Linked DNA regions of Callithrix jacchus. The protein of the gene in region 1 interacts with the protein of each later gene in a pairwise test. Links are inferred from orthologs where the notes say so. Each region holds a gene or a part of one and is shown on either strand. Other genes may lie near its edges. The genes, in order: APPL1, FARS2, ADIPOR1 and UBE2O.

Region 1 (8,189 bases):
TGAGTATTTCATATTACACAAAGGAAGATTCCCTTTGGGAATGGGGTTTGTCTTCACTGTTCTATCATAGATGAATCATTAAGATACACACCTATACATAAAATCAATTATTTTTTTTACATCATCTGTTTTTACTAATTAACAAGGTTTATTTTTATTTTAATTTTTAAAACAACATATAAATATGGACAAGGCATCTAGTACAAGTTTAAGATTTTCTGGCTTAACGGATCCTCTTTTGCAGAATTGTGTGGTTTGGGCAAGGTAATTCTAAAGATGCTTTTTCCCCCCCAGGTTCCAGGCAGTATCCTTAAAAGATGCTTTTTAAGCTGGATTTTGGACTTGCAAATTCTCCCTAATTTAGTAAGTAGTTACTAAATAAATCAAAACTAAAAGAAAGATAACTGTAATTTAGGATAGTCTTCCATCACTCCTAGGCTCTTCTTTTTTTTTCTTTTTTCTTTTCTTGAGGCAAAGCCTCATTCTATTGCCCAGGCTGGAGTGTAATGGTGTGCATTACATCTCACTGCAACCATGGACTCCTGGACTCAATCGATCCTCCTGCCTTAGCCTCCTCAATAGCTGGAACCACAGGCTCCTACCACCACGCCCAGCTAATTTTATTTTTTGTAGAGATGAGGTCTTGCTATTTTGCCCAGGCTGGTCTTGAACTCCCACCCTCAAGTGTCCACACGCATGACCCACTGGGGCTGGCCAAGGCTCTAACTTTTTTATGTAACAACTGGCAGGCCTCTTTTGATTAGATCTAAATAATCTAAAAAAATTAAAAACTGATCAAATAAAAAACTTTTGGGCCTGGTACAGTGGCTCACATCTGTAATCCCAGCACTTTGAGACTCTGAGGTGGGAGGCCAAGAGTTCAAGATGAGCCTGGCCAACAGAGTGAGACCCTGTCTCTATAAAAAATTCTTCAGTTGGGCTACTTGGGAGGCTGAGACAGGAGAATCACTTGAACCCTGGAGGCGGAGGTTGCAGCAAGCCAAGATCGTGCCACTGCACTCCAGCCTGGGCAACAAGGGAAAAACTCCATCTTCAAAATAAAATAAAATTAGCTGGGCTTAGTGGGGTGTGCCCAGGAGCCTGAGGTTGCTGATCCATGACTGCGCCACTACAGTCTAACCTAGGCGACAGAGTGAGACTCTGTCTCAACAAAACCCAAAAATTTACCAATTTTTTAAAGTCTTTCATATTCTTTGCTGCTCTACTTCTTGGACTCTGTTGTAGATAAAATAGTTCAAACTGAGAACAAAACGTATGGCCCAAAACATTAATCTCAGCCCTATTTATAAAATCCAAACTTTGGGAAAACTCTAAAAGTCCAGCAATGGGTTGGGAAATCAGTTAAGGCAATGTGTAGTCTTCACAATTTTTATTTGGAATTTAAAAACATTATGAAGATACTTAAGCTATAATGCTAAGCTAAAAGCAGGAAAAAGATCATTATGTACAATATAATCTCAATTCCATTAGAACATGTAGAGGAAAAAACAGTAGAATAAAGAAAGCAAATTGTTAATAGGGTTTTGCTGAGTACCCGACAGGTGTGTCTATTCTTTTCTGGACCTTCCAATTTTTCTGAAACAAGCAACTATTATTTTTCCTAATCAGGGTCAAAAATAAAAACACGCCATTAAGGTACAACAGCTAAGGTTCAGAGAAATTGAGTGATTTGTCCTAAAGCAGAAGGTAGTAAGTGGCAGTGATGACTAAAAAGTACCTCTATCCTAAATCCAAGGCTTTTCATTCTGCCACGGGTTCAATCTAAGAATCACCTCCAAGTATCTACACTTTCTAAATCCCAGTTGTCCCAATTAAGTTTCCCAAGTAAATTTTACCTAGTTCAAACTTACTGTCTTTAAACACTGAAGGAATATCAATGTGGCTACTTCATTAAAAATTAGCTGTCACTGTGTCACATGCCGGTAGTTCGAGCTGCTAGAAAGGCTGAGGCAGGAGGACTGATTAAGCCCAGGGGTTCCAGGGTGTAGTGCACTATGCTAATGTCTGTGAACAGCCATTGCTCTCCAGCCTAGGCAACATAGCAAGACCCCATCTCAACAAAAACAAACATAGTGTAAAACTGACACTAGTATGATACATGCTTGCAAAAAAATAAATAAATAAATCTTTTTTTTTTTTTTTTTTTTTTTTGAGACGGAGTTTCGCTCTTGTCATCCAGGCTGGAGTGCAATGGCGCGATCTCTCGGCTCACCGCAACCTCCGCCTCCTGGGTTCAGGCAATTCGCCTGCCTCAGCCTCCTGAGTAGCTGGGATTACAGGCATGCGCCAGCTAATTTTTTGTATTTTTAGTAGAGACGGGGTTTCATCATGTTGACCAGGATGGTTTCGATCTCTTGACCTTGTGATACACCCACCTCCGCCTCCCAAAGTGCTGGGATTACAGGCTTGAGCCACCGCGCCCGGCTCAACACAATTCTTAAATTATAAACTAATCTGTGTAAGAAGCTCAAGAAATCAGATGAGTCAAGAGTTTGTCTCTGCCTCACAAGTCATATCTAGGGCAATGCGCAATCCATTCTGAGCCATTTATAGTCTTTATGGGCTATTAAAAAAAAAAAAAGCCAGGTAAGAGAAGGTAAAGCAACCTGTTGAATCTCACATAATAAAAAGTAAAATGACAAAGTTCACCTGACCAATTCCATAAGCTTTCTGCCATTCAGCTGAAACAAATATTGTTTATAACTGTATATGGAGAATTCATCAAGAAAAAATTGAACTGGGTATACTGGCAATCAAGATAAACCAAATGTGAGTTTCTCTTTTTGTCAGTATAGGCTGATAAGAGTACATTAGCAGCAGGCAACTGGCCTGTGAAGATAACTTTCAGAATGAAAAAGAACAAATCAATTCTACAATCAGAGCTCCATTTCAACTTGGCAATTAACACTAGCACAAAATCCAAGACAGAAGTGCCATCCAGGAAAGGGAAATCTGGACCTCTTCTGCTTTTCTTCTTTGGAGGCCATGTTCAAATGTAAAGACACATGAAGTAGGAGCAACTGCATTTCTAAATGAGCAATAATTCAGAAATGTTTCATTCTAAATGGTGTCCAACGAGCACCACCGTGTTAAACCATTTAAATTATCGTGTAAAAAGGCAGGCTTAGAAATGAAGTTTTCCCTATGGAATTTACATCCCCTGCCAACATTTTAAAAAGTATAGCTGATTTCATTCTTCAGTACTGAAAAAATATCAAATAGTTACATTTTCCAAAACTGTCTCAAGCTAGAGCAACCACACCAGCATCATTCTGACACAGAGAACACAGGGCTTTTATTTTGATGATTTTATGAAGGACAAGTCTGCTGGGAGCGGCGCGAAGGCACCTTCCATCACTCGCCGTGTACAGCTCGAGTGACAGCGACCACAGTCACGGCCGCGCCACGGGCACACTCGGCGGGGCGAGTGGTCTTTGGCTCCGGGACCCGTCACAGCCTTTCAGCCTCTCCCGAAGAAAAACTATCCATTTCCTTCCCTAGCTTGCTGAGCCTTGGAAATCATTAAATAAGGCTACCAGGGTTTCTCTCCCTTCTGCATTTCTCGGGGAGAAAATTCCAGGATCGAGATTTAGCACCTCACATCACGGAGATAAAAACGGCGCCTTTCGTGAAATAAAAAGCAGACCCGCGCGCGTACGTGACCGCCCGGCCCACGAGCACCAGCGGCTTGGTCTCCGCCCGCGGCCCTCGGCCCAGCCGAGCAGGCCCACGCGGGCCTCGGGCGGCGGACCCAGCCTCGACAACTCGGGGTGCGGCCTGCGACGGGCGGGGGCCCCGGGCGGCGGCGGCGCCCACCTGGGCCGGGGCGGGCACCTGCGGGAACGGCGCAGGCTCCAGGCCTGGGGTCCGCCAGCCCGGCTCTCCCTCGTCGCCCACCAGCGCCCGCGCCTCACCTGCGGGCTGTCCTCCAGCGTCTCCTCGATGGGCAGCTTGTCTATCCCCGGCATCGTGGCGGAGGGAGGGTGGCGGCAGGAGACGCAGCGGCCGCCCACAGCTCCCCGCGCCTGCCGGCCCGCTGTAGCTGACCCCGGCCCGCCCTCTCAGGCAGGCGCTGCCGCTTTCCCCGCCAGCACTGCCTTCTCCAGGCTCCGAGCGGCCGTGCGGGAAATCCCGCCCCCTCGGCCTCCCTGCCCCGCCTCTCGGCGCCTCCATTGGCTCGCGGGGACGCCCATCGGCGCTGCGGCGTTGGTTCGGAGGTTCCCGTGCGGCGCGAGTCTCTCCCATGAGCGCGGGTGTCGGAAGCGGCGGAGGTGGTAGTGTCAGCCTTGGGATAGCCTTCCCGGCACGCGGGCGTTTATGTCTAAATCGTAGGGGACCGTCTCTTCCCTAGCTTGCCGACGTAGGGAACCGGAGCCTCGGGTGAGGGCCACACCGGGGAATTTGGAGCGGGTTGACTTTTCCCGCAACATTTTTCGGCAGAGACCTTGAAAAATGCCCTGCTGCTGGCGCTTTGTAGTTTGCTCAGATGGTAACCTTCCCAACTCCGCTCGAAGCATCCAGTCTTAATCCCCTCCAGCAGAATGGTGCTGACCAACTCATGTATCTGAGATCCGAAGTTGTCTCAATAACAGGGCTTTCTGGCAAACTTGTGAACAGTAGGCTCGAAATTATTTTTTTGGACACTTGAATGTCGGTATATTCCGTTGAAAACATGTGACTTAGTTGCCAGTTTATCAGTTCCTACCTGGCCTCTCGAGGTCGGTCCTTCAGGACTGACGCTGCAACTCCAACAAATCACAAAGGGAAACATCTTTTAAAAATCAGGATACACTGTTAATTATGTTGGTAACTGATTGGCATTTCTGTTTCATCAAAAAGTTTTGGAAGAGGCTTTAAATAGGTTTAGCCTCTAATTTTACGATAAAGTGAAGCTCTAAGTTGAGAATTTGACCGGATGAGGGCTACAAGCCCATCCTTTCCTCTTCTCTCTTCATCTTTCCCAATCTCTCAGCCTGGCTCGTTTATGTCTGTAAAGTTGTAGGCTTTCATCAGTATACACAGAAAATAGCAAAATAGCTAGTGTTTTCTAAACATCTAGCCATTAATTGCACCAATCCATTCCATTTTCATTCAAGAAATAGCAGAGATGCTGAGTAAAGATTATTAGGGGCCTGGTTCCATGGATACATGGGAACAAATCCAGAATAGGAGTAGCACAAATCCAAGTATAGTAACAAATAGAAGTTATATGTTTTAAACGAAAATAGTAGATTTTCCTATGGTCTCTCTAAGGAAAGATAAAATTATATTTTTAAAGTTTTGTCGGGTAGGTTTGCATTGTAGTTTTACAGTATTATTTTTAGTCTTACAGTCTTTAAAAGCTCTCCCCTTAGATTATCACTAGTCGCCTTCTGGAAGAGTTCTTTAGTTTTTGAGGAAGTTGGTTTGGAGTCACTTCTTGCAATGAATTAAGGGTTCCCAGTTGTATTATAGGTTCTTTTTCCTTGATATCTCATTTCTACTCTGCCAGCAAGAACACCATGCACCCCAACTCTAAAGAAGGAAGACTTTCAAGGTAAGTGATCTTCCTGACTGAACTGAGTTAGATTTTAAATTGAGAACAAAGGTAGTGACAACTGATAAGAATCAGGAGTAAATGAAGGGTGTAAACAAAGTATAAGAAAAAAAAAGTCGGGGCACTGTGGCTCATGCCTGTAATCCCAGCATTTTGTGAGGCCTTGACGGGTGGATCACCTGAGGTCAGGAGTTTGAGACCAGCCTGGTTAACATGGCAAAACCCCGGCTCTACTAATACAAAAATTAGCTGGGCATGGTGACGCACCTGTAGTCTCAGCTACTCGGGCGGCTGGGGCAGGAGAATTGCTTCAACCTGGGAGGCAGAGGTTGCAGTGAGCTGAGATTACAACACTGCACTCCAGCCTGGGCGACAGAGCAAGACTCTGTCTCAAAAAAGAGAAAAGAAAAATACTTGTTACCCAATTAACTTGGCCAAAGCAAGTAATTCCACTGAAAAATTCTGTTAGGTATCTGAATTATTTGGGTGTGGTATTATCAAGTTAAATGGTTTCCTTTCTAGTATGTTATATACATATAAACTGTGTTTCTGTAAAGGATTCTCAAGAGGCCATTACATTATCGCATAATGGCAAGAAATTCTGGTTATAAAATAACAAAAAAAAAAAACAGGTTCATATTCAATTGGATGGAGAGGTAGGTTTAGTCAAATCTAGTTTTAACCTATTTCGACTAGAATCCAATTTTAGCCTTCTATTTGGATTCTCTAGCGTTAGGTCACTGTATACCCTGCTCATTCGAAAATGTGATTGTATTTCCTAGGTCAAAACATCTCCAAAGCTGCAGAATTCACAGTCCTTTTTGATAACTGTGGGTACCACCCCCAGGGGCACAGAGGAAGGAGAACTGTTTAGATCTCCCAAGCACAATTAGTGCCTAAAGAATATCTTAGTTTACAGTGATATTACTCAGCTATTTCCTTTATATAATCCTTTAAATATGATCATATTTTAGTTTATAGAATTAGTACCTGAAGTATAACTTACAGCTTACATATATCCAGCTTACATAATCATGCTTATACTTATATCTAGCATACTTAGTTCTATATAATCTTTCCATATAATATAGGTATTATAGTCAGAGCTGTACTGACACATTTAGTGCTGATTTATAGAATAGAATCCTTCTATATAACCATATAGTAGTTAGTAGGAGGAATGCCTAGAGCAGTCACAAAACAAAAGCAGTACATGGGAAAACAGCTAGACCAGGACAAGAACTACAGACCCAGGTGGTGGCATCCCTGCCTGAAAGGGCATACTCTATATGGCAGGCTTGGAGCAAGAGCCTCTCCTCCTGATAAAGGAGTCATAGTACCTTGCATCCAGTGCCTGTGAAAAGTAGGCCTCAGGCCTGAGATCCTGGAAATAACCCAGGGAGAAGAACCTCTCTGGTGTGACCAGTCACAGTGGCTGTACACCCTGTCAGTCTTTTCTCACTTCTGTGCTAGCTCAAATCATCCTCCCATAAATATCTTAAGAGCACAAGTCTGTCAGCTCCTACTGCATTGGCTTACAGTATCCTTGTATTAGAAATCCTTTGAAGTCTCCAGCCCCCAGATAAGAAGTGTTGCGCACGACACCTATTGCACACAGCCCGCTTCCTTGCCTCGGTGACATAATGGGGGTGGACCCCCTTTCTGTACACAACCCTCTACTACTGCATACCCCATGCCCTCTACTGTGCATGGCCCACCTCTCTGCCCAAGTGACATAATGGGGTGACCCCCTTGCTTGTGACTCACATGATTATGTATGTCCTATTGCTAAGCCTATAGATGATGACCTCACTCACAACCCTGTCTCCTGCTTGTACCTGATAAATACAAATGCATTTGGGCATTTGGGGCTCTCGCCGACCTCCACTCACAGGTGGCATGGCCCCCTGAGTCCATATACTCTTCACCAGTTCTTCAGTGTCCTGTCTCTTTGCTTCTCGGTTCCTGCACCTCAGCACAGCATAAAGGACACCCCATGACCCTGCGGGGCCCCACGGCCCTACAGATAACAAGTTTAAGTTTAAGTAGCCTAAGTTTTATACAGTTAACCAAACTCAGTTCATTTCTGTTTTTTTGAGATGGAATCTCCCTCTGTCACCAGGCTGGAGTGCAGTGGCGCCATCTTGGCTCACTGCAATCTCTGCCTCCCAGCTTCAAGCGATTCTCCTGCCTTAGCCTCCCGAGTGGCTGGGACTACATGTGCACGCCACCACGCTCGGCTAGTTTTTTATTTTTGGTAGAGACGGGGTTTCACCATGTTGGCCAGGATGGTCTCCATCTCTTGACCTCGTGATTGTCCCACTTTGGCCTCCCAAAGTGCTGGGATTACAGGCGTGAGCAGCCCAAACTCAGTTCATTTTAAGCCAGTTTTCTTTTATACAGGAAATTAGGCTTGTTCAGAGACTACCTTAGGGGTTACTGGAGACTCATGTGTGGGTAGTAAAAACTTTGGGCAATAACTGATTAATTTTATGGAAGGCAAGTCAGGATTAAACAACATCCACCAAAGATTTCTTTGAGATGTTTCACATGTATACTTGAAACATTTCACGTGTAATTTACAACAAAAGGACATGCAGTCTTGTAAATAGAGTTGTTAATTATTAATCTC
Region 2 (8,005 bases), on another chromosome or scaffold:
AAAGAGCTTCTACAGAAATGGGAGTCTCAGAGAATCCCACAAGAGGAAATGTCTCACATACACACATAAATAGACAATCTAAAAAAGGCACTAAGCCTTTTCAAAGAGATGGTAATAGAATAAAATGTAAATTTATCTTAAATAACTAAAAAGCTGGTATAAAAATCAACATTTAAGATTCCCTGAATATTTATAATATTTCCTATACAAATTGGTTAGCTTTACAAATAAGTGAGACTCCAACTAAATTAAACTTCAAATATGACTAAAATTTACCCATGTTATCCAAGAAAAATCAATAAGCTTCAAATTCCTGAAGGTGGTACTTTCTCTGTGAAGCAGTGCTGCATTGTAGCTAGACAGCTCTCATCTCAGGCCAACGCCTACCCTAGCTACTTTCTAGCTGTCTGATCCTGGCTAAAGAAACTCTCAGCTTCATTTTTTTGTTGTCGTTTCTTTATTATTATTATTATATTGAGATGGCATCTTGCTGTGTTACCCAGGCTGGTCTCAAATTCCCGAGCTCAAGTGATCCTCCCTCCTCAGCCTCCCAAAGTGCTGGGATTACAGATGTTAGCCACCACACCGGGCCAGCTTCACTTTTCTTAAATGGAGATAACAGCTCTTTTATTGAGTCATGGAAAGATTAACTCAAATCATTTGGGACTCAGCTCATCTCGTGCCTAACACATATGAAAGTCCATGTATCACATTTCCATGGGATCTCCCTGTTCTCACCCTCATGCACTCTACAGATCTGGCCAAAGCCCCTCCCAGGTCATGAGTGTTTTTCTCTTAGACCTCAATCAGGGTTTCTCTTCACCCTTTCAAGGCAAAGCGTAAATCGTCTTCCACCTACAGTAGCCATCTTACCACCACACACCCATTCAAATCCTTCAATTCCTTTCAAGGCCCAGAAGAAACTTAAATCTTCTCAAGCCCAATACAAACATTACCTCCTCCATGAAGCCTCCTGATTCCTTCATATCAGTGTTTCTCAGCCCTGGCTATACCCAATCATGGAGGAAACTTAAAAAACAATTAAACAAAAATCTCTGAAGCCTGGGCCTCAGCCCTGCTGTTGGTCTGAGGTGTGGCCCAAGCATAAGGGATGGAAGTGACTTCTTACACTGAGACCCAGTGACGCTTCACCAGCCCTTTCCTTGAAGCACTTTGTATAGGTTGGTGCAAAAGGAACTGCAGTTTTGATCATTACTTTTAATGGTCAAATCCCCAATTACTCTTGCACCAACCTAATATCTCCTACTCCTTATTTTAATTATATACAAATGTATTTAAAGTATAAACTTCTGGAAAACGGGATCCATGTTTGATTTCTACATCATCCTCAAGTTATCATTGCGAGAACAGAAACTTGAACTACCAGGCTGCCGGCTATCTTTTGAATGCACAAATAAAATTTCACTGCCTCTCAAATATAGGATTCAAATTCATGATCTGAAACAAAAGGCTATCCATACCTGAATAAATAGTTTCCATTTCAACAGCTCAGCTGTTAAGCTATACTTATATGACTCAGCCAATGCATAATGGAAGAAATGATTTATTCCAGAAATAGGAAAAACATCACTAAAATAAAGTTAGTGCAGGGCTAACCACTTCTGCGGTCCCTCCCTTCCCACCTCCTACCATCCTAAAACACTTAGAGTTCTCTAAATAGATCAAGCACCCTTCTGCCTCCATGCTTGGAATATACAATACAATCTTTAACCACATTCCTCATCTGGCTCTTACTATTCATTCTAGAAACACCTATGATGGAAAGCCTTCCCTTAGGTGAAAGTCCTAGTTCAATATTCCTCTTCTGTATTCCTTTAGTATTTGCTAAATTATTGCTCTTATCACAGCAACTGTCAAAAAGAAATTATTGGCCAAGTGCCACGGCTCACACTTTATAGTTATAAGCTGAACTCTTTGGGAGGCCAAGGCAGGAAATGCACTGAGGGGTTTGAGACCATACTGGACATCATAGTGAAATCTTATCTCTACCAAAAAAAAAAAAAAAAGTTTTCTAATTTGCCAGACATGGTAGCATGAGCCTATAGACCTAGCTACTTGGGAGGCTGAGGCAGGAAAATCACTTCAGGAGTTTGAAGTTTAAATGAGCTATGATCATACCCCTGCACTCCAGCTTAGGAAGCAGAGCGAGAACCTGTCTCTATAAATTATTGTTTGGTTTATCTAATCACCTACAGGTTTCTTAGGGGTGGGGAGGCTCTCATCACTGTAACTATGTCATCTTATAGTTTTGTCCTCATATGTTATGGTACTTATTGGCCAGGCACCGTGGCTCACACCTATAATCCCCACACTTTAGGAGGCCAAAGCAGGTGGATCCCCTGAGGTCAGGAGTTCGAGTCCAGCCTGGCTAACATGGTGAAACTCCATCTCTACTAAAAATACAAAAAATTAGCCAGGCATGGTTGTGTATACCCGTGATCCCAGCCACTTGGGAGGCTGAGGAAGAAGAATCGCTTGAACCCGGGAGGTAGAGATTGCAGTGAGCTGAGATTGCGCCATTGCACTCCAGCCTGGGCAACAAGAGTGAAACTCCGTCTCAAAAAAAAAACAAAAAACAAAAAAAAATAATAAATTATGGTACTTACGAAGTCTTCAATAAATGCTGAAGGAAGGAAGGAATGAGGAAGGCTTGAGTTTGTTCATCTATACAAATGAATGAGTTGATATATAAGGTCTTCCCCCTTCATATTCTATTAAAATGAAGGATCAATGTATAATACTTAGATTCATGTCTGGTGTAGGATAGAATAATTTTTTTTCTTTTGGTTTTTTTTTTTTTGGAGAGGGTCTCACTCTGCTGCTCAGGCTATAGTGCAGTACCGTGATTATGGCTCAACACAGCCTCGACCTCCAGGACTCAAGCAATCCTCCCACCTCAGTCTCCTGAGTATCTGGGACTACACGCTGTCTCCTGAGTAGCTGGGACTACAGGCACCTGCCACCACTCCCAGCTAATTTTTGTACTTTTTGTGTAGAGATGAGGTTTGCTATGATGTATTTTTTTGTATAGATGGGGTTTTGCCATGTTGTCCAAGCTGGTCTCAAACTCCTGGGCTCAAGTAATCTACCTGCCTCGGCCTCCCAAAGTGCTAGGATTACAGGTGTACAGCACCATGCCCACCTGAATAATTTCTAAATAATATCATAAGTTACTATTTCTATACAAATTTTACTCCATACATCACTTTGATATTTAAGCTTCAGGACAGTAAATTGTTGTTATGCTGTTTATTATGATTTGAGAAATTTCTCTTCACACAGCACTAGGTGGTCATGGACAACCCTAATTTTAATAGAAGATAATACAAGATTTTACATAAAGAACTATAGTTACTTGATAACTTTGGATAAACGAAAAACGAATACTAAAGAAATTTTTATGTTTTGATTCCTAAATGGTACCTCCTATTGTAGATATTCCCTAAGAAAAATTTCAACCCAGAACAGAATGCATGTTAAGGAACATATGGGTATGGTCCATTCTTCAGCTTCTGGCCCATTCTACTTACAGTCTCAAATAGAGTTACTTTCTTCTTTTTTAAAAACAAAAAAAGGCATCTCCACAATAAAGATATGCAAAAGTGAGATGTAGCTTTTGAATTAATATTTTCTATTAGCCTCTCAAGGCAATGATGTCCATCAAACTGGTAAACCATTTTAAATAAAATAATGAGGTATTTTTGTGAAGACTTGGCTCAGAATTAACTGGGAAGCTATCGCTTTCCTAACTGCAACCATTGCTTGTACTAACAGAGGACAAGGCTACCCAAACTATCTAAACTATACATATTTACTTGGAAGTTTTATTTGATTACCACAAAGTTGAGTCATTTAGATACATTAATTATATACATTAATGATTAAATTCCTTAATAGGTTGAAACAATTGTAACTGGCTTACTGCAACCTCCACCTCCCAGGTCCCTGATTCTCCTCCATTAGCCTCCCAAGTAGCTAGGATTACAGGCACGAGTCACCAGGCCGAGCCAATTTTTGTATTTTTCAGTAGCGTGTTGTACTGGCCCGAGCATAGAAAGTTAACACCAAGACAAAAGTATGCCAAATTGCAGGGTCTTAATTGCCGGCGGTCACGGAGGACTCTCGTCTCTCCAACCCGTGGCCCTGAAAGGAGGGTGTCAAGAACTTTTACGCCTGTAAACCACCTTGGGGGTGAGGGTGAGGGGCTTTAGACATTCCAAGGGCCAGTGGATTCCGTAAATTACCTCTGGGGCGGAGATGAGAGTGAGGGGCTCCGGACATTCCCAGGGCCAGAGGGCTTTGGATATTCCGATTGTGGCTTAAGCGGTTTACAGAAGTCAAGATAAGTGTTAGTTTACACGTTGTCTGGATATGGGTGGAAATTACAGACCTTAGTTACTTATTACAAGTCGCAGGGGCCAAGATGGCGTGGGTTTGGACTGCTTGCCTGTCACATCAGGGTTACAGAGAGCAGTTTCAACACAAAGCCTAGGTATGGTTGAGGTATGCAGCTTTATGGGGCTTTTACCATGTCACAACGACGGGGTTTCACCATGTTGGCCAGTCTGGTCTTGAACTCTTAACCTCATGATCCGCCCGCCTCGGCCTCCCAAAGTGCTGGGATTACAGGCGGGAGCCACTGCGTCCAGCCCTTTTGTTTTTACGTATAAAGGTACTCCTCACTGTGCTTGAATGCAGAAAGGTGTCGTTCTTCCTAAGGTTATGTAAAGCAAGATTCCAAAAATAAGAAAATTGCTTTGCGAACACAGTACTAGAATTGGCTGAGGCTTCCCTGCCTCCAGTCCCATGCTCAAAAATTAGAACAAGCAACTTTATCCACCACTTTAATAAGGTAATTCAAAAAAGTTTAGGTCAAGCCATGGGAGAAAACTTGCTCTGCTTCTTGGAGAATACCTAAACCCCTAAAGGTCTCTAATTATTCTCCGAGGTCTACAGCCAGGCTGCATTTTACAAATTTATTAGTTTACAAAACCACGGGGACACTTCACTCAAAAGCAAATCCACATCAGGAAAGAGGAAAAAAATCCACGGCCAATGTAAACCCCCTACCACACCAACTGCCCACGTCGCACCCCAGGCTGCAACGAGGCCGGCACTCACCCACCGCTCTCCCGGGAAACCCAGACCCAAGTGTTTCAAAATCGGAAGCGTGGCAGGCTAGTTCGCTCTCAGGGCAAGAATCTTAAACCCCAACTGAAGAGACACCCCTGTACGCTGGGCACCGCCATTTTGACAGAAAGCGGGCCTGTCCCGCAGGCCCCTATGCAGGTCGCCCTGAGCAGCGCCGGAGTACCACAGAACCCCTGGCTCATCACCTCCACACCCAGACATCGCGCCTCCCAACATAGAGAAGGCCATGAAACCCCATCCAGCCGAGCAGGATCGGGCGAAGTCAAGTCACCCTTGAAATCCCGCAAGGCCTCTCAGGCAGCACTGAGGGCGGCCGCAGCCAGTGGGGGCGGGGAATCGGCGGTCAAGGGCGGGCCTTCGGCGCGGCGGCCTTCGGTAACCCTGGCAACGCAGCCTCCTGGAGGTACTAAGGGCCGCTGCGCCTTGAAACACAAATGTCCCCTCCAAGACCCCGGACGGTTCGCAAAGGCTCTCCGTGGTGCAACTGCAGTTCTCTCGGATGCTCGCGCCTCCGATCTTCGTCCCCCAGGGGCTTGGCTGGATGCCCCGACGGCCAGGCCTCTAGTTTCCCCGCCTTTCAGCCGCTTGGAGCGGCTGCTGGGTCCAGAGCCTCCAGCCGGGGGCTGGGCGGAGCGGAGGCACCTCCCTCCAGGCACCGCCCCCTTAGCTGCCCCGAGGCCTGCCTGTGCCCGCCTTGGAAGAGGCCCGGGATGCCGGGTGCCGTCTGCGGTCCTCAGGGGTGCCCGCCTAGCTGGCAAGGCCGAGCCGCCGCACTTTATTTCGTTCGTAGTTTCTGCACAGGCTGAAGTTCCGTGGGTTGGGCTGGACTTGGGACCTCTCCGAAGAGGACCCGTTTGTTTTTTTCTTTCCAAAATGGCAGCCTCCAGCCGCGCACAAGTGTTAGATCTGTACCGGGCTATGCTGAGAGAAAGCAAGCGTTTCAGCGCCTACAATTACAGGTGACGCGGCGGTCGCCGGGGACCGGGGGCCGGGGGCCGGTGGCCGGGGGCCGGGGGCGCGGGCTGCCGCGGAATGTCCTTGGAACCACCGTCCTGCGCCGGCGGCCGCGAGAAAGGGACCGGGTTCCGCCATAGAAAAGCGTGCTCCTGCCTGCAGGTGTGGCCTCTGAGACCTCGGGGAGGAGCGGAGGGCTTGCTCTTCTTTCTACCAGGGAAGACGTTCACGTCTTATAACGTTTTCCCCCTAAAGTCTACCTTGGTTGGTGCTCTCGGAGCATGATTAGTGTTATGTTTCTGCAGAAGAGAAAAAAAAGATGGAAATCAGCCATTGGTGAAGTTAAGGCCAATATGTTGCATACGTAAAACTTCCCTAGAGCGTGGAAATGGCCAGTGAGTAGCACACAGCTAAAAAGCTTAAGGCACACGCTAGCACCTCCCTAAAGTTTCCCAGGTGTCGTAAAGAGTTCTTTTGGTTGCCAGAATCAAATCCGTTCTATTTAGGGTACGATGGAAAGGCTTAGCGGTAAAGGAAAAAGGACCTCACAGGCTTTGGAGCTGAAACCTCAGTTTATCCTGGCTCACCAGACAGATCCTGCTTATTGACCTTGATAGCAGGACACTGAGGGTCTAAACTCTTACATCTTTAATATAACACATTCACTTTTTTACATGCCTCACCATTCCCCTATTTGCCTATGATTCTTTTTCTGTTGCTGCCCAGGCTGGAGTGCAGCGGCGTAATCTCAGCTCACTGCAACCTCCGCCCCACGGGGTTCAAGTGATTATCCTGCCTCAGTCTCCCGAATAGCTGGGATTACAGGCGCCCGCCACCACGCCTGGCTAATTTTTTGCATTTTTAGTAGAGACGAGATTTCGCCATGTTGGCCAAGCTAGTCTCAAACTCCCAACTCAAGCGACTCACCTGCCTCTGCCTCCCAAAGAGCTGGGATTACAGGCGTGAGCCACCGCGCCCGGCCTGTATGGTTTTTTCTAATTCAGAACCTCTACTTTCACTTTGTTGCTGCTTCTGACCCATCATTTCCTTATGGATTCTCTCTGCATTTTTTTCAGATGTGTTGTTTGGTTTGGTTTGGTTTTGACTAACTGCTACTCCTCTCTGATTTTAAGCCATATTCCCCTGAGAAAAAATCTGACTCGATCAATCATGTCTTTACCCCAAGCCTCACTTAGGTGACTGGCCAGCCTATGGACTGGATGTCATAGGAGCAGAGCCTACCCTTGGAACACACCTGGTTAGGTAGGCTCCCCTCTACCAGGTGTGTGAGTTGGCAGACCGACCTGAACAACCTCTGTCAGAAGAAAGGAACAGTAAGCCTCTTAAGCAGTGACTCTCAAATGTTTAGAAACCTGCTTAGAAAACATGTTCATTCTGCAAATTTGAGAACAGCATCTAGGTCATACCCCTGAAGTCGTATCCACCCAGTTAAGTGGTTAAATTTCACCGGAGAACATGATTTTACTTAATGACTTTGACTTTGGAGAGTAATGAGTGTAATAATAGGCATACTGGTGGAATTTTTAGCAAGATTAAACAAACACCTAGCACCAAGTACTTAACCAAGTCTGTTGAGGGAACACATGAAATATGCACGTTATATACATAGAAACCATTTGATTTCACCATAGTCTGGAGGAAGATACTTTGTTATTTAGACTGAGGATACCTAAGGACTTGGAACCAGCAGGGAGTTCACACACTAAAGAAAATGGCAGGGAGAGGGTCTATGTGAGAGCATGTAGAAAGTCAAGGTGGAACCCTCAAAGACTATAACTTGGACTTGTCACTCAATCTCTGTTTTTCAGAGCTCTTGTTTGTGAAATAGACTGTTGGACTAGACAGTCTCTAAGGACCC
Region 3 (8,308 bases), on another chromosome or scaffold:
GTTATAGCATTGTTTTCAAAGAGCCAGATAACATAGGCAGTTTGTGATATGCACAAAATAAGTGATACAATTTGATTGCTCCAGGAGGGCAGTGGAGAGAGAGAACCCCTCAACTAGAATGGTCACACGCTAAATTCAGTTATTTTGAGTGCTATATAACTATTTTAGTAGAGGCGATGAGAATAATATAGAGAAATTTTAAGTTGGGCAATTAGGGTCCTAAGATCACATGCAGAATCCAGCATGGCATTCTTACTAATTTCATCATTTGATCTGAAAAGCTTTCATGCCCTCAAGTCTTCTGGTTATCATCACAGTCTTTTCCCTTTTCAGTCCAAATCATTTTCTGTTAATTCTTCTGATTCCCTCTAGCTCGTTTATCACTACTACCTATACCACAACTAATAGTAAGCTGCAACTCATCACACAAAATATATCATCATGCATTAAAGTACATACAATGAAGGTCAATGGAGATCATGTCATCATAGTGAGCAAAGTCCATTGTCCAGTTTGGTCTTCTAAACTGTAGCAACACAGAGACAGGAAAGGGAGAGATAGGGATCGGACGTCTGGCAAGAAAGAAGAGCAAATAATCCTAGGATCTGAAAATACCACTTCTCTGGGGTGGACCACTCACATACAATGGAGAATTACAAGTGTGTTTTAGTCTATGATGTAAAATCAGAACAAATCCTTAAGGTGTTAGAATGATCCTAGGAGGGCCAACTCTCTGCCAGCTTTCTATATCCTTATGTATTTTAGAGGAAATGCCTTTCCCCTCAAGCTTGCCACACCCAATATAGCAAATTCTATTTCAGCCAGACTCCACTGAGTGCATTTTTGATGGGATTTCTTCAACTCAAGCTAATAAACCTTTACCACTAAGCTTTCCAACTGGATAAACCTAGGATATTAGAGTAAAGCTGTGGAGCAGGGAGGTGTTTGTGCTCCTATAAATAAGATAATCCTGTGCCAAACTTGGGGAAAAGATTGATTTTTAATCACCAGTCAGTTAGCTGGAGAGTTATTTCACTTACAGGTGTTGGAGACATTTATACTGTGAACCAATTCCCAAGTTTTCTAGGCTACGGTACACCTTTCCTGGAGGCGAAGACAAAGCTTCAAGAGTTTTTAATCTGGGGTTCCCAGGCCTTTAGAGATTCTATGGCTAGGCTCTATCCATGCCTAGCTTGATTCTTGTGCTAAAGCAAGATCAGTCTAGCAGTACAGATAAAGAACACAGCCAGCTTTCCCCCTATCTACCATCTGTTAGGAGGATAGTTTCACAGCTGTGTTGGAGAAATATGAGTCAAAGCAAAGGCACATGTTTGAAATCACCAAACTGCAGCAATAGGGCCTCAGCTCTCCTACTTGATGTCAAGCCTCCCAGTTGAAAAACAATCTGACTTCCTTTGTAGCTCTTCCCCAACAGAAGTTTTTTGGTTGTTTGTTTTTTAAAGAAAGGGTCTTGCTCTGTCACCCAAGCTGCAGTGCAGTGGTGTCATCTCAGCTCACTGCAGCCTCAACCTGCCGGACTCAAGCAGTCCTCCTACCTCAACTTCCCAAGTCTTAGTAACTGGTACTACAGGCATGTGCCACCATGCCCAGCTAATTTTATTTTTTGTACAGACCTTTTCTCACTATGTTGCCCAGGCTAGTCTGGATCCGCCTTGCCTTTGCCTCCCAATGTGCTGGGATTACAGGCATGAGCCACTGTGCCTGACTGAAGGGGTGTTTTTGAGCCCTAACAGACAGGCAAACTTTCCTAATGTCATGACAAAAAAAGTAAACAGTATACAGGCATATGAAAGATTTTAATGCCAGTCCATTTTTTCTGTTTCTCTTTTTTTTTTGTATTTGGAGTCAGGGTCTTGCTCTGTGAGCCAGGCTGGAGCGCAGTGGTGCGATTACAGATCACTGCAGCCTAGTACCCCCCGACTCAAGCAATCCTCCTGCATCAGTCACCCAAAGTGCTGGGATTACAGGTGTGAGCCACCATACCCAGCCAATGCCAGCCCTGCGTTGTTTTTTTTTTTTTTTTTAAGACAAGAGTCTTGCTCTGTTCCCCCAGGCTGGAGTGCAGTGGCATGGTGTCGGCTCACTGTAACCTCCGCCTCCCAGGTTCAAGTGATTCTCATGCCTCAGCCTCCTGAGTAGCTGGGATTACAGGCACCTGCCAGATGTCCAGCTAATTTTTGTATTTTTAGTAGAGACAGTGTTTCATCATCATGGCCAGGCTGGTCTCGAACCCCTGACCTCAGGTGATCCACCTGCCTCGGTCTCCCAAAGTGTTGGATTACAGGCGTGAGCCACTGCGCCTGGCTGAGAGCCCATTTTTAATGTCCATCTTTCAAGTACATTACAGATACATGGTCAATACAACTGCACAATACAGTACTCACTTTATACCATGTACTCCAGAAGCCTTAAGGAAACAGAAGCAAACTAGACCCATATATGGAAGTGGTCTGGCTAGAGGGTACTTTCAAGGATCTTTTCAATCCAAGATAGTTACAAAGTTTAAAATTTGTAACATCATTCATGTCGCCAACATTTCTTTCTTTCTTTTTTTTTTTTGAGATTGAGTCTCCCACTGTCACCCAGGCTGGAGTGCAATAGTATGATCTTGGCTCACTTCAACCTCCGCCTCCTGGGTTCACATGATTCTCCTGCCTCAGCTTCCTGAGTAACTAGGATCACAGGTGCACACAACCTGGATAATTTTCTGTATTTTTAGTAGAGACAGGGTTTTACTATGTTAGCCAGACTGGCCTCAGACTTCTGACCTTGTGATCTGCCTGCCTTGACCTCCCAAAGTGCTGGAATTACAGGTGTAAGCCAAGGTGCCCAGCCTATGCCCCCAACATTTCTGAGCAGGAAAAAGGGAATCAACTTTGAGCATGGTGAGAGGAACAAAGTCCAGGAAGTGGTCCAAGAAAAAACTTCACCATAATTAACAAAGTTTCTAGATATAAAGACGACTGCTTATTTTACCTGTGTGATAATAAGTAGATAGGACAGGATAATGTTGCAGGAATGTTAAAGGGTTTCAGTTTGGCTTTGTATTAGAAGTCAAAGGAAATTTCCTATGGAAAGAGAGAACAAACGTTCTGGCCTAGAAAGAAGGGCAATTTCTATACTTCATTAATCTGAGAATACCGATTGATTACTTACAGTATGCATGGTATTGTGGCCACAGAGACACGGCAAAGTGGGGTCAGAGGCTTGAAATAGTTGGCCTCTAAATGGGGGAAGTAACTTTCCTAAGACATTACTACAAGGGTTAGTGCCATTATGTGCAGGAGGAATTCAAAAGAAAAGTGCAACTTTAGTTGAAGTGATCAAAACAGTTTTGCAGAAGATTTTATGAAAGGATCTTGATAGATGGAGATGGAAACAGGGCATTAGAGGAGGGTACACAGCGTGAACAAAGCCGTGAAGGAACACAGTCCCTAGGGCAGTAAACAATTCATCTTTCCATGGAGTCCTGGAAAGGTAAAATGAGGCCAGACTGAGGAAACTGAAAATAGCCTAAAAGCCTACTTAAGGTGGTGTACTTTTTCTATCAGCAATGGAGATCAGTGGATTAATGTTGCTTCCTGTTACTTTTCTGAGATTCTCTCCCACCTGCTAGCAAAATCTTGACCACGGAGAATAGAAGGCTTTCAGATTCTACTCTGCAATTCGGTATAGTTTTGCGGAGGTCTACCCTAAGATGGGCCGTCACAGGTAACATCAGTTTTTATGACTGACTTCCCAAGTGTAAATCACAATATGGGTACATAAAAGTTACTTCTGGAATAAATAAATGTAGTGGCTGCAAACTGGGAACACTGACGTTGAAGTCTGTTTAGCACCACTCTAAATTCCTGGCAGGATAAAGATAATATACAACCTCAGGAACCGAAGTTGCACCATTGCAGCCTACCCAACTACTAGCAAAAGAGAAAAGCAGTGAACAGACCCCACTATTACTTCATTTCAGAAAACAACCAGCCATTATAATCTTCATTTGTTTTGAAGACGGCAGCCTATGTATTCTCTGCTGTATTTTCTAGCCCCTCTTCTAAATTACTTGAGGGAAATCTAGCAAAGTACCATGGCCTCCTAGTGCTCCTCTGACACCTGAAACGGTGTAAACTGAAATTGGCCTTGTCAGTTTCCCATTCTCCCACGAAGCACCAGAAACTGAGGGAAAGCACTTATCTATTTTCTTAAAATCGAAGGTTTGAAGGCCGAAATTCTTAAACAGAAGAAAGCATACATCAATTCTAGATTTCCAAGGTAATGAAATTTCATTTTTCTCCAAACTAGCTTAGATTCTGCCCCGCATTTCAGTCTTCAGGATTACCTTAATCCTGCAGAGCGATCACCAACCTCCCTTCCCACCTCTTCAAGGTGGGGGCACTGTCATGGCCTGACCTGCCAAAGATGGTTGGTCGAGGAACCTCAGGGCTTCCCAGCCATCCTGGACGGGTGTTCCCCGCTGAGAGGCGGTTCGCGACCTAGGCCCGCAGCCCTCCCTCCCCAAGCGCGGGCCTCGGGGCCAGGCTTATCTCTGGCTGACTGGTCCCGACCCGGGGAACCCAGGCATCTCCACCCCGCGGGGCTAAGGGCGCAGCACTCACAGAACTGCCGGGAGTCGGGGAACAGCCAGGGACAGCAGGGGACTTGCGCCCACCGCACCTAGGACGCCTCGGAGGCGGCGCGCAGTGGGAGGGGCCGGAAATGTTTACAACCTCCACCGCCTGGACGCCCGGAGGCCGGGCGGCTCCGGGTCGGAGGCCCGGGACCCTCGGCACGTCGGAGCGGGTTCCCCCAACGGCTGTCCCCTCCGCAGGCCTGGGCCGGTTCCCCGGGGTCCCGCGCTCCCGCCGAGTCCCCGCCCACAGCGCAGCCCCGGGGAGACTTACGGCCGGGCGGGCGGGCGGGCTCTGCTGGGGGCCGCGGTCCCCCGCGCTACATCCCGCGGCGCTGGAGGCGGCCTGCGGCCGAGCGGCCCCTATCTTCAGCGCCCTCCCCGCGCCGGAAGGGGCGCGCGACCGCACGCGTCACCTCCGCAGCCGCGTCACCTCCTCGCGGGCTCTGCCGGGCCCCTCCAATCCCAGGCCTTCTCACAGAGTCCCAATCACAGGCCCGCGCCCGCCGGCCACACCTCCCGCCCCGCTGCCCCGCCTTTCCTGCCGCCCCGCGCCTCCCCACCGCGGCCAGGTAACCTCCACCAGCCCCGGGCTTGCCCTCGCCGGTCGCGTTCCACACTCCGCCTCGTCTTCGCAGCCTGGAGTGCGTGATGGAGAAGGAATTTCAGAGAATGAGACGGAACTCCGGGAGGGAATGCTGAAGCTTCTACCATACACCTCGTCTCATCTCCTCTGTCCCCAAGGCCAGTCGTTTCATCTCTAAACACGTCTTAATCCCTTCTTCAACCGCATGGTCCCTCCCTGCCTTCCACAAACTATTGAGCGCCTACCGTGTGCCAGGCCCTGGGCTAGACCTTAGTTCTGGCTCCTGTTATTTTCTTGTCAGGGAGCAGAATTGTTTCTAACTACTCTTGCTGGCGAACCCGCGCCCCAGCTCCTGCTCCCACACGCACCGAGTGCAGATTGGGGAGACGACCTAAGGCAATGCAGCCCTTGTTTGAACCACACAACACAGAAGGGGATTTCAGGGTCTGGCCATTTTCGCATTTCTCCCAAGAATGAAATAGTATTTATTTTATTCCCATTTTTCAGATGAGGTAACTGTCATTTGGAGGGGTTCCATAATGTGCTCAAGGGGACAGACTGGCCAGCGACAGAAGCTTGGCTCTGTGTGACTTTACAGCCCATGCTCTGGAGCCCCTGATACAGCGATCCACAGTTGCTGAACAGCAATGTCGATCTACCTCCTGTGACCAAACCTTCAACTCACAGGATTATCATGGGGATTAAATTATGTGATGTAGATAGAGTACTTGGCACAGTACCTGGTATGTGGCTGTTAACTCAAAAAAATTTTTTTTTTTTTAGGCACAGGTTCTCACTGTCACCTAGGCTGGAGTGCAGTGGTGGAATCATGAGATCATAGTTCACTGTGTAACTAGTGCCATTCTAGTGGCAGAGAAAGTGACTCGTAATCTGACATAGGTGCCTCAGGGACATGGGGTTAGTTCTCTTGGTCTTGGTTAAAAGCATGGGCTCTGGAGTCATATAGAGCCAAGCTTCTGTCCCAGACCAGCCTGTGATCTTGACACATAACTGAACCCCTCCAAATGATAATTACCTCATCTGAAAAATGGGAATAAAATAATAGCATTTCACTGGGTCTTTGTTAGGACTGAGTGAGATAATTCATGCAGGCTCTTATTATGAGACCCAGCCAATGGTAAATGCTTTGTAAAAATGTTAGCCATTACCATGTTGCCCACTGTATACAATCCTCAGAAACTTCCCACTGTCCACAGGACTGGGTCCAGGTTTCTTCAACAGCGTTTCAAGGCCCTTTATGAGCTGGTTCTAACCTCTCAGGCCTCATTGTTCTCCATTTTCCCTCTGGCATGTTGGGTCTTGGTGAACTAGTTCTCTAAAGTGAACTTCTCTTTCATTCATTCAGGCTGATCCTTCTGTTGGACTGCCCTTCTCATTGTCTGCTGCAAGATGCCAGCAGTTTACAATGCCCACTTCTAGGTTTGGCTTTAGGCTCTGCCAGCCCCTGACCAGCTGTACGACCTTTGGCCAATTATTAATCTTCAACTCATATGAGTATCATGAGGATTAAATTATGTGATATAGGTTGAATACTTAGCACGGTACCTGATATACAGCTATTAACTCAAAAATACTTGTTTGTATTTTTAGGGACAGGCTCTCACTCTGTCATCTAGGCTGGAGTGCAGTACTATGATAAGATCATAGCTCACTGCAGCCTCGAACTCCTGGGCTTTGAGGGATTCTCCCACCTCAGCCTCCCAAGTAGCTGGGCTATAGATTCGTGTCACCAAGCCCAGTTAATTTTTTAATTTTTATTTTGTTTTTGTAGAGATAGGGTCTATGTTGCCCAGATGTTAGCTCTTTCTCCCCTTCCTTCTTTTCTGAATCTTTCTCAACCTCTTCCCAGCTGTGCTTTGTATGTACCTCTGCTTGGTATTAGTCACACTGTGTTATAATTATTTGTCACTTGTCTATCTTAGACTGTGAGTTCTTTGGAGGTCTCAGACCAGTCTTGGTCACACTTGTATCCTCAGGGCCTAGCACAGTGCTTGGCACATGACAAGTCCTTAATAAACGTTCGTATGTTGAGCACATGAGGCAAAAACCCATGCCAGATGAGGAATGGTGATCTTCCATGAGGGAAATTCTCTTTACAAACCTGCTTCACTGTCTGAGCCCAACATTCCTAGGCAAGATTTTCCTTGCTGGAGGTGAGGTGGCTGAGCCTATGTAACAGAGCACAGTGCCATACACGTTAGCTGATCAAGAAATGTTGGGTGGAAAAACATCAACAGAATTTACTGATGCCTCTGCTCTAGGGAGGAGTGAATCCTGAGGGTCCCATAAACCTTTCTCTCAGGAGCCTCAGAAACAGCTATATACAGTTGCTGAGAAGCAGAAAAGCAATGCTGACCGACCTTCTGAGCCCACCACATTGTTTTGTTCCAGTGAGACTAACAAAGAAGAATCTGGAGAGGCTGCCCTAGTCCTACCCTAGGAAAGGGTTGGACTCCCATAGCAGAGTAGATTGGCGCTCAGGACAGATGGGCCTCGGGGAGGCCAACTCTGTCCAGGCATCAAGGCATCAACAAGTCTGGCCGGGGCTGGTGATGTCAGGTTACTTTTTAAAGGAGATGGCTTCTCTTCCAAACAGAAAGGCAACACTTTGATTTGTGTGCCAGGTTCCCTGAAGGATAAATATGGTGAAGGATGGGCGGGAAGGAAGAAGGGGAAGAGTGGCATATTAAGGGAACACTGTGAGGGGCAGCTGGGCTCAGAAAAGTCCCCTCTAATGTGTGTTCATCTTCCCCCACCTCGAGGGCCTCCAGGGAGAAGAGGAGCTCTGGCTCTGCTGAGACAGCTGCTGAGATGATCACCGAGTCTACTGGCAGCTCACATTTCAGCACATGGTACAACTTCTCAAAGGTTCTTTGGAACACCTGGGAGAGTTCCCTGCTGGCAAACCCTTCCTCCCTAGGTCTTTGGGCATTTGGAAACAAGGACCCCAGACATGACAACCATTTCAATATCACACAAGGGCCTTAGCCCCATTTATTTGCACAGCCAGGGGTTCCTGCCACAAACAGCAGTTTTCGATTATCAGTAGCTGTTTCCCT
Region 4 (7,521 bases), on another chromosome or scaffold:
TCCCATGGGTGCCCCTGGGTTGCTGGCAGCAGGGCATGCTCACCTGCCTAGGTTTTCCTGGGTGATGACAGAGGGTGGGGGGCTGACGCTATCCGTGCCCCCTGGACAGAAACTCTTGGTAATCCATGTAACTTTCAGCTCTACAACCTGCACCTGGGGATGGCAGGTGGGACACGCCAGTCAGGGCAGGCTCTGACAGCACTCTTTAGCCAGCTGCCCAGGGCCCACTTGACCTCCAGAGGAGGAAACTGATCTTCCTAGTGCAGCACCAAGTACAGACAAATCAGAGTAGGCCCTGACTGTAACCACGGCCCCAATGCAACACCCAGGACCAGTATCACTGCTCATACCAGCCAGGGACCACTGGTAGCCACCCACCACCCTCCCACCTTGCTCAGGCTGGGCTGGGGACATCTGTCTTTTGGTCACTATGACCAGAGCTTGGGTTCCCCTTTTCCTTAAAGCCCTTTGAGATCAACAGGGTCCAGAAGCTGAAGAGCAGGGCTCAATCCTCAGAGCAGGCAGGAAAGGGGCAGCAGCTCAGCTCCAGGGCGTGGAGGTCAAGGACTCTGTCTCCTGCCCCTAGGCCCAGACCCACCTCTTCCACCACCACTCGGAACTTGCTCTTGGTACTGAGCACGGGCTTGACACCTGACAGCCATTGGACGCTGGAGAAGATCTTGGCGGGGCCAATGAGCACCTGGCCTGGGTAGAAGCCGTAGGAATCATCAAAGAAGAGACCCTGTGGGATTTGGGGCCAGAGGAAAGTCCCTGTGAGCAGTGCCTCCTTGGGTGACCGCGCTCTCCACACCTGTGCCTGCTGGCTGCCCACCTGCAGAAGCTCACTCACAGGCATTACATGCCTTAAAACAAGTCGTGTGGCTCAAGAACAGCACTTCCCAAACTCTGGGTGCGTAGAGGTCACCTGGCACCCTTGTTCAAATGTAGGCTGACTCATTCCGTGCTCCTTGGTCAAGGGCTCACACTCTGAGGAATAAGGCTCCAGAGAGCAGTGGACCTGAAACCTGTTTGCTCACACACCCCCTGTATATCTACTTGTTTGCTATTTGTGTCCATGTACTATTATAACTAATACATCATCCTGTATTGAGAGAGCAACAGTGAGACTTCAAAGGATGAGAGGAAAAGGCTAACAGAAATGCAAATAAAAGTTCTAATACTGCCAGGCACAGTGGCTCACACCTGTAATTGCAGCACTTTGGAAGGCCGAGGTGAGTGGATTACCTGAGGTCAGAAGTTCGAGACCGTCCTGGCCAACATGGTGAAACCTCATCTCCACTAAAAATACAAAAATTAGCTAGGCATGATGGCACATGTCTGTAATCCCAGCTACTGGGAGAATGAGGCCAAAGAATCGCTTGAACCCAGGAGGCAGATGTTGCAGTGAGCCAAGATCGTGCCACTGCACTCTAGCCTGGGCGACAGAGTAAGACTCTGTCTCAGAAAAAAAAAAAAAAAAGTTCTAATACTTTCTGCCTATACCCAAACTTTTAGAGCCTCTGGTGCACACCCAATCCTCTTCCAGGAAACCACTCTGTTTAGCCAGGGCCAGCTACAAGCTCTTTGCTAAGAAGTCCTCTTCCCAGAGGACTGAGCAATCAGAGAAGGGCGTGGCCTGAACAGAGCACACTACCGAATCGCTGACGTGCGGGCAGACGTCGTAGAGCTTGGCGCCATCTTCCGTGTTCATGGAGCACCTAAAACAGAGAACAGAGGCTTGGTCTCCACCAGGGGACACAGTGAGTACCAAATAGCTGCGATCCTAAGATGCCAATACACCAAGTACCCGAAACAGCAAAATTCATCTTCCACCATCAGCTCAGCCCGACGTAGTATAAAAAACTCTCCCACAATGCACAATGAACAAGATCCCAAGTGCCACTGGAGTGCTCAGCACCATCACAGTGCCTCAAGTAAAGCACCAGCCCCTAGCAGATATGAACACGCTTCTCCCCACGGCAGGACAGATCAGAAACTGACCAACAGAATTAGACCATGGTAGATGAGGAGAACGCCACAGGGTTAGGCCCTGCTTTGCAGGCCTGGGATGCTATCAACATCTGTCACTGCTCTTGATCAAACCTGTCATCACTGGCCCCAGGAGGAAACACCCTCTTCCTTCCCTCTTTCCAAGAAGCCATTTCCCAAGCCAATGGCTCCTTGGTGGTGAGACTCTACCTGGCGCCATTGGATAGCTTCAGGATGATCTGGTTCTTCAAGTCGTAGACCTTCCCCAGCCAGCAGTCATAGGCAATGTAGTCCCCATACATGAAGGGCTGCAGACCAAGGGAGCAGGGGCAGTGAGACACAGCAGACAACACTCATGTCCAGGGAATAGATTCCTCTATGCCCCACTGAGACAGGCAGAGGCAAGGATCTAGACAGCCCACTGTCTGGACTGGTTGGCAACCAGTCCTAAATAGCTGCTGCAGCAGGCCATCTGTACAAGTTCTAGGCTGCATCCCAGCTGCTCTTCTCAGCGAGAAGGAAGTGGTGCTGGTTGTGGTGGTGGGGCTACCTAGAGGTAACGGGGTGGTTTATGCAGGGGCAGAGGGCTGATGGCATCCATGGACATGGGACATCCATGGACACAGGACAACTGGCAAGTAGGCTGTGGAGGTAGCAGGCAGAGGAGACAGCCATACCGCTGGGGGGTGGCTATATGGACAGTGTTCTGAGTAAATCCATTAGCATATCGAGGATATTGACAGCCAAGTCCCTCACTGTTGGAGAAGGTGTCCAGGTGTTTACTAACAGAAGGGGAGAAGGAAGAGTCATCTGAGGTGTTTAAGTGGAATTGGATGTATCAGGATGAACTTATATATTTTCATTTCTATTGTTGAGGCAGGGTTTTGCTGTTGCCCAGGCTGGAGTGCAATGGTGTGACCTTCTTGGCTTACTGCAACCTCTATCTTTGGGCTCAAGTGATTCTCCCACCTCAGTCTCCTGAATAACTGGGACTACAGGGATGCATCACCATGCCCAGCCAATTTTTTCCTATTTTTTTTTGTTGAGATGAGGTTTTGCTATGTTACCCAGGCTGGTCGTGAACTCCTGAGCTCAAGTGATCCACCTGTCTCAGCCTCTCAGTGTTGAGATTATAGGAATGAGCCACTGTACCTGGCCTGAACTCATATACTTTAACATACACATAGAACAGGTAGTGACATATTTAAATGTGTGTATACATCTAATACATGAGTATTTCCTAGTGTGTCCCAAAAGGGCCAAGTAGCAATTAGCACACCTAGCATCCAGATTTGGGTTTTAAAAATTCCATTCTTTGAACACAATGAAGCTTCTCATGCCAGAAAGAAAGAAAATACTTAAAAAACCAACAGAAAGGGCCATGTGAAAAGGACATGAAAGCCAGCCTGAAGGGGCTCCCATTGGCTATATCTGGGATCACCTAAGCAACAGAACAGGTAGTAATAGTAGCAATTAATTACAACCAATGGATAAAACAGAAATCTCTAAGTCCATACTGATTTTAAAAAACGAATAAATAAATGTCAGCAGAAGATGGAGCTCTTCTACAAAGCAGAATGCCAGCTAATAGAAATGGGGGGCAGCCAGGGAGCCTTAAAATCACCATTTAGCAACATCAGAGCAATGGCTGGTGCAGGAGGAACTGTGAATGGAGGTCAAAGGTGGTGGATTTCAGTTTGACAAATGATAGGTAGTTCATTGACATAATCCAGGACTGTGTTCCCACAGAATACAATCACTTAAGGGGGTAAATGGTGAGTTTATAGTGGAGAGACCTGGAGGACACCAACATGACCAGGGATCAAAGTGAACAACCCCAACATTTTGGCTATGGGGTACCATGAACCAGCGCAAAGCTCAGTGGCATTTCTGTGGCGGGTCTGCCATGAATTCATGGGCATGAGGCAATACCAGACAGACCTAGGCTGAGGGTCCAGTTACTGAATGTATCACTGTTTGGGACATGGAAGACAAAGATAGGCTGGGAAATGATTCCAGATTGGAGAGAAATTAAAGAGGTGACAATTTTTTTTTTTTTTTTTTGAGACCGAGTTTCACTCTTGTTACCCAGGCTGGAGTGCAATGGCGCGATCTCGGCTCACTGCAATCTCTGCCTCCTGGGTTCAGGCAATTCTCCTGCCTCAGCCTCCTGAGTAGCTGGGATTACAGGCACACGCCACCATGCCCAGCTAATTTTTTTGTATTTTTAGTAGAGACGGGGTTTCACCATGTTGACCAGGATGGTCTCGATCTCTTGACCTCGTGATCCACCCGCCTCGGCCTCCCAAAGTGCTGGGATTACAGGCGTGAGCCACCGCGTCCGGCCGAGAGGTGACAATTAAACGCAAGATGTGTTCCTGAATTGGGTCCTGGATCCGAAAAAAACAAAACAAGAGTAGAGTTGGGACAACTGAATTCGGTCTATGGACAAGACTGTAATTATCAATGTCCACTTCCCAATCTGGGGGTTATATGGTGGTTACACAGGAGGCTGTCCTTGTTTTTGGAAAATACAGAGAGGTGTATTCAGGGGTAGGTGACAGGGCATCATATCTGTAGCTTGCTCTCAAAGCTTGCTCTTTTTTATTCCCAAAATATTTTGGGAATAAAAAAGACAGGAGAGGGATCTGGGGGAGAAGGAGGGAGGGAAGGTGATGGAGCAAATGAAGTGAAATCTTAACAGCTGAGGAATCTGGATGAGAGGGACACAGGAATTTACAACTTTCTGGTAGGTTTGAAATTATTTAAAAAATATTTAAAAAATAAAATTATTGAAAATAATTTTTTAAAAAGAAATATTAGAGGTGAAAGGAAACCAGTTAAAGACAACCACATCAGCAGTCTATGCTGGGTTTGGGGAAGGGCACCTCCTGACCTCGTGTCTAAATGGCTTACTGGAAGGCAGCGAAAACAAGACTACAGGAGCCAGCCGGTTGCTGTGCTCTGCCTTCTGACCCAGGAAGGCTGTGCTTGGCAAGAGCGCAGAGAAGGCTACAGCCCTGAGGTCGTGCCCTAGAGAACCAGAGGGCCCAGAAAGGACGATGAGAAGACAAGGCTGGCTTACCCAGATGTGCTGCAGGTCCTTGCTGTTGACGGGATAGATGATGCAGTTGGTGCCAATGAGCTTGACGGCGCAGTCTATGTTGACGTCGATCACTGTGCCACACTGACTGTCCTGGGGGAGGGAGGAGGCATGCAAGCCCCAAGGTGCAGCAGCCTTGGTCCCATGGGAGACCCAGCCCAGACCACCCCAGTATGTCCCCTGCAGAGCTGGCCAGCTCTCCCACATACAGAGTGCGAAGTGGGCAGGCTCAAGTCCCCAAGGTGGCTGCTCCCAGGCCCAGGGCTGGGGTGGGGACGCAGGACTCACAGTGGATCGCATGTGCCGGACCACATCTCGGGGTACCACAGAACGGTCTTCTAGTTTCAGCTGTAAAAGTAAATACCAGTGTGAGAGAATGGGCTCTGAAGCCACCAGAGAATACATTTTTCTTCAAAGTTCTTCTGAAGTGTCACATCCACACTGCTAAATGCACAAATCCTAAGTGTTCAGCTAGAAGCATTTTCACAGACTGCACATACCTCCAACCAGCACCTAGACTCACAGGCAGAGCGAGTCACCCGCAGGCCTCCTGGTACCCCTATGGTCACTGTCTCGCCCACCAACAGTAAACACTCAGCTGACCGAAGGTATCCTTCCTCAGGCTGAATGCAGCTCAATGACAGATCACATAAGGCCACACTTTAATTAAGGATTTAACAGCCCATTCTACAGAGAACAAAGTATTTGCTTTGCGTTAAATCCTTTTTCTGCCCTCTGCAAGTACCTGCCCCGGCTGACGGAGCGTGGGCTGGGAGAGGAGCAGAACACCGGGCTTTGCTGGGTCACCCTGAAGCCCGGCTATCACCGGACACCACGTTCTAATCTGGGTTATCCTCCTGACCAGCTGTGGCCTGCACCTTATCTGCTGCGCTGTGGAGCCCTACGGGCTGCTGAGTTGGCTGGCTCTTGGAGCCTGGCCAACTGCATGAGCACCTGACTGTCCTTTATGCACAGCTAGCAGCGACCGCTGCCTCCTGCTGCTCCACATCCCAACAGCCTAGGCAGGAGATGCTTCCACCAGGCCAGCCTGCCTTCTTTTTTGCTGGTTCCTCAAACCTGGGGCAGTTCCTTTACATTTTTTTTTTTTTAAGATGGGGTTTCACCATGTTGGTCAGGCTGGTCTTAAACTCCCAACCTCAGGCCTCCAAAGTGCTTGGATTACAGCCGTGAGCCACTACGCCCAGCCTACGGTCATAATTATGGACAGGTCTCCGCGTGTGTCCAGTTCCAAGACCCCAAGCCACGTGTCTAGAGAGCTGTTTCCTCAAATAGCCAACCAGACACTCTGTGGTGGCAGCCTCTCTCGACCTGGGGCACTGAGAGGTCACTACCAAGAAAGGAGAACTGAGTTGCTGAAAAAGAAAGATACTGGCTCAAGGTCACTTAAATGCTAGCAATGAAGACTAAAACAAACTCTGCCAGAAGAACATGACTCAACAAAAAAAAAAAGGGGAAAAAAAAGCAAAGGACCCCTTCACCAACCAGCAGTGCAGAGAGTCCACAGGAACTCATGAACCCAAGTTTTTTTTTTTTTAACACGAGTCTCGCTCTGCTGCCCAGGCTGGAGTGCAATGGTGCAATCTTGCCTCACTGCAACCTCCACCTCCTGGGTTCAAGTGATTTTCCTGCCTCAGCCTCCTGAGTAGCTGTGGCTGCAGGCACATGCCACCACGATCTGGCTAATTTTTGTATTTTTAGTAGAGACGGGGGGTTTCACTAGGTTGGCCAGGCTGGTCTCAAACTCTTGACCCCGTGATCTGCCCTCCTCAGCCTCCCAAAGTGCTGGGATTACAGGCGTTGAGCCACCGTGTCCAGCTATGAACTCAAGTTTCAAATGACAACAAGCCCAGTCCTTAAAAAACAGGGTTCTAGAGTCAGACACAAGAACCTCAGGCAAACCACTCCTGCCGACAAGTGGAAGGAGGGATGACAGCAGCCATCTCAAGCGTGGCTGAGGCGGAATCACCAAGGCAGCGGGCGCACAGGTGGCACATGATGCACAGTTCAGAGCAGACACTCAGCAAGGCCAGCAGCTGTGATAACTGGCCCTGAGAGGTGGAGGCTGAAGAGCCCTGAAAGGCCAAGCTCTCCTTACATCTGCTCCAAGACCCCAGGAGGATCAAGGGGCATGCTGGTGTGTGATGGTGCCACTTTTCTAACTGTAAGCACTTTTGTGTGCTATAACCCTCTGTGCCCAAATCTCCACTCTGAGACATCGTATTTTTTTGCACTGCCCCATCCTATTTTAATCCCCTGGTCCCATTTTAGACTTCAAAAAGTCACAACTGCTCTCAGAGAAACCACAAGCTGCAGGACTGCAGAATCCAGTGCAAGGGGGCTGCACCACGTGTGGTGGGAGGGCTGCATCCACCACTTAGGGGTCCCTGAGAGAGCAGTCAGGAAAGGAG

The links.
Region 2: the proteins of APPL1 (region 1) and FARS2 interact in binary tests that used the Homo sapiens proteins (3 or more experiments, as listed by UniProt). The two-hybrid records come from large-scale screens. The link is inferred for Callithrix jacchus from reciprocal best matches to the Homo sapiens genes APPL1 and FARS2.
Region 3: the proteins of APPL1 (region 1) and ADIPOR1 interact in binary tests that used the Homo sapiens proteins (3 or more experiments, as listed by UniProt). The link is inferred for Callithrix jacchus from reciprocal best matches to the Homo sapiens genes APPL1 and ADIPOR1.
Region 4: the proteins of APPL1 (region 1) and UBE2O interact in binary tests that used the Homo sapiens proteins (3 or more experiments, as listed by UniProt). The two-hybrid records come from large-scale screens. The link is inferred for Callithrix jacchus from reciprocal best matches to the Homo sapiens genes APPL1 and UBE2O.

What each region holds. Positions count from the first base shown.
Region 1 is NC_133516.1:74,836,201-74,844,389, forward strand, and holds the start of APPL1 (DCC-interacting protein 13-alpha), read right to left. Parts: upstream 4,133-8,189; 5' UTR 3,990-4,132; coding exon 3,936-3,989; intron 1-3,935. UniProt on the Homo sapiens protein: Multifunctional adapter protein that binds to various membrane receptors, nuclear factors and signaling proteins to regulate many processes, such as cell proliferation, immune response, endosomal trafficking and cell metabolism.
Region 2 is NC_133505.1:25,184,840-25,192,844, forward strand, and holds the start of FARS2 (phenylalanine--tRNA ligase, mitochondrial), read right to left. Parts: upstream 5,284-8,005; 5' UTR 5,143-5,283; intron 4,736-5,142; 5' UTR 4,550-4,735; intron 1-4,549. Other genes in the region: LYRM4 (LYR motif-containing protein 4), read left to right, coding at 6,046-6,131. UniProt on the Homo sapiens protein: Is responsible for the charging of tRNA(Phe) with phenylalanine in mitochondrial translation.
Region 3 is NC_133520.1:30,002,945-30,011,252, forward strand, and holds the start of ADIPOR1 (adiponectin receptor protein 1), read right to left. Parts: upstream 5,050-8,308; 5' UTR 4,355-5,049; intron 527-4,354; exon of another isoform or gene 460-526; intron 1-459. UniProt on the Homo sapiens protein: Receptor for ADIPOQ, an essential hormone secreted by adipocytes that regulates glucose and lipid metabolism. Required for normal glucose and fat homeostasis and for maintaining a normal body weight.
Region 4 is NC_133506.1:132,294,473-132,301,993, forward strand, and holds part of UBE2O ((E3-independent) E2 ubiquitin-conjugating enzyme), read right to left. Parts: intron 5,441-7,521; coding exon 5,381-5,440; intron 5,186-5,380; coding exon 5,075-5,185; intron 2,298-5,074; coding exon 2,200-2,297; intron 1,719-2,199; coding exon 1,655-1,718; intron 743-1,654; coding exon 599-742; intron 154-598; coding exon 44-153; intron 1-43. UniProt on the Homo sapiens protein: E2/E3 hybrid ubiquitin-protein ligase that displays both E2 and E3 ligase activities and mediates monoubiquitination of target proteins. Negatively regulates TRAF6-mediated NF-kappa-B activation independently of its E2 activity.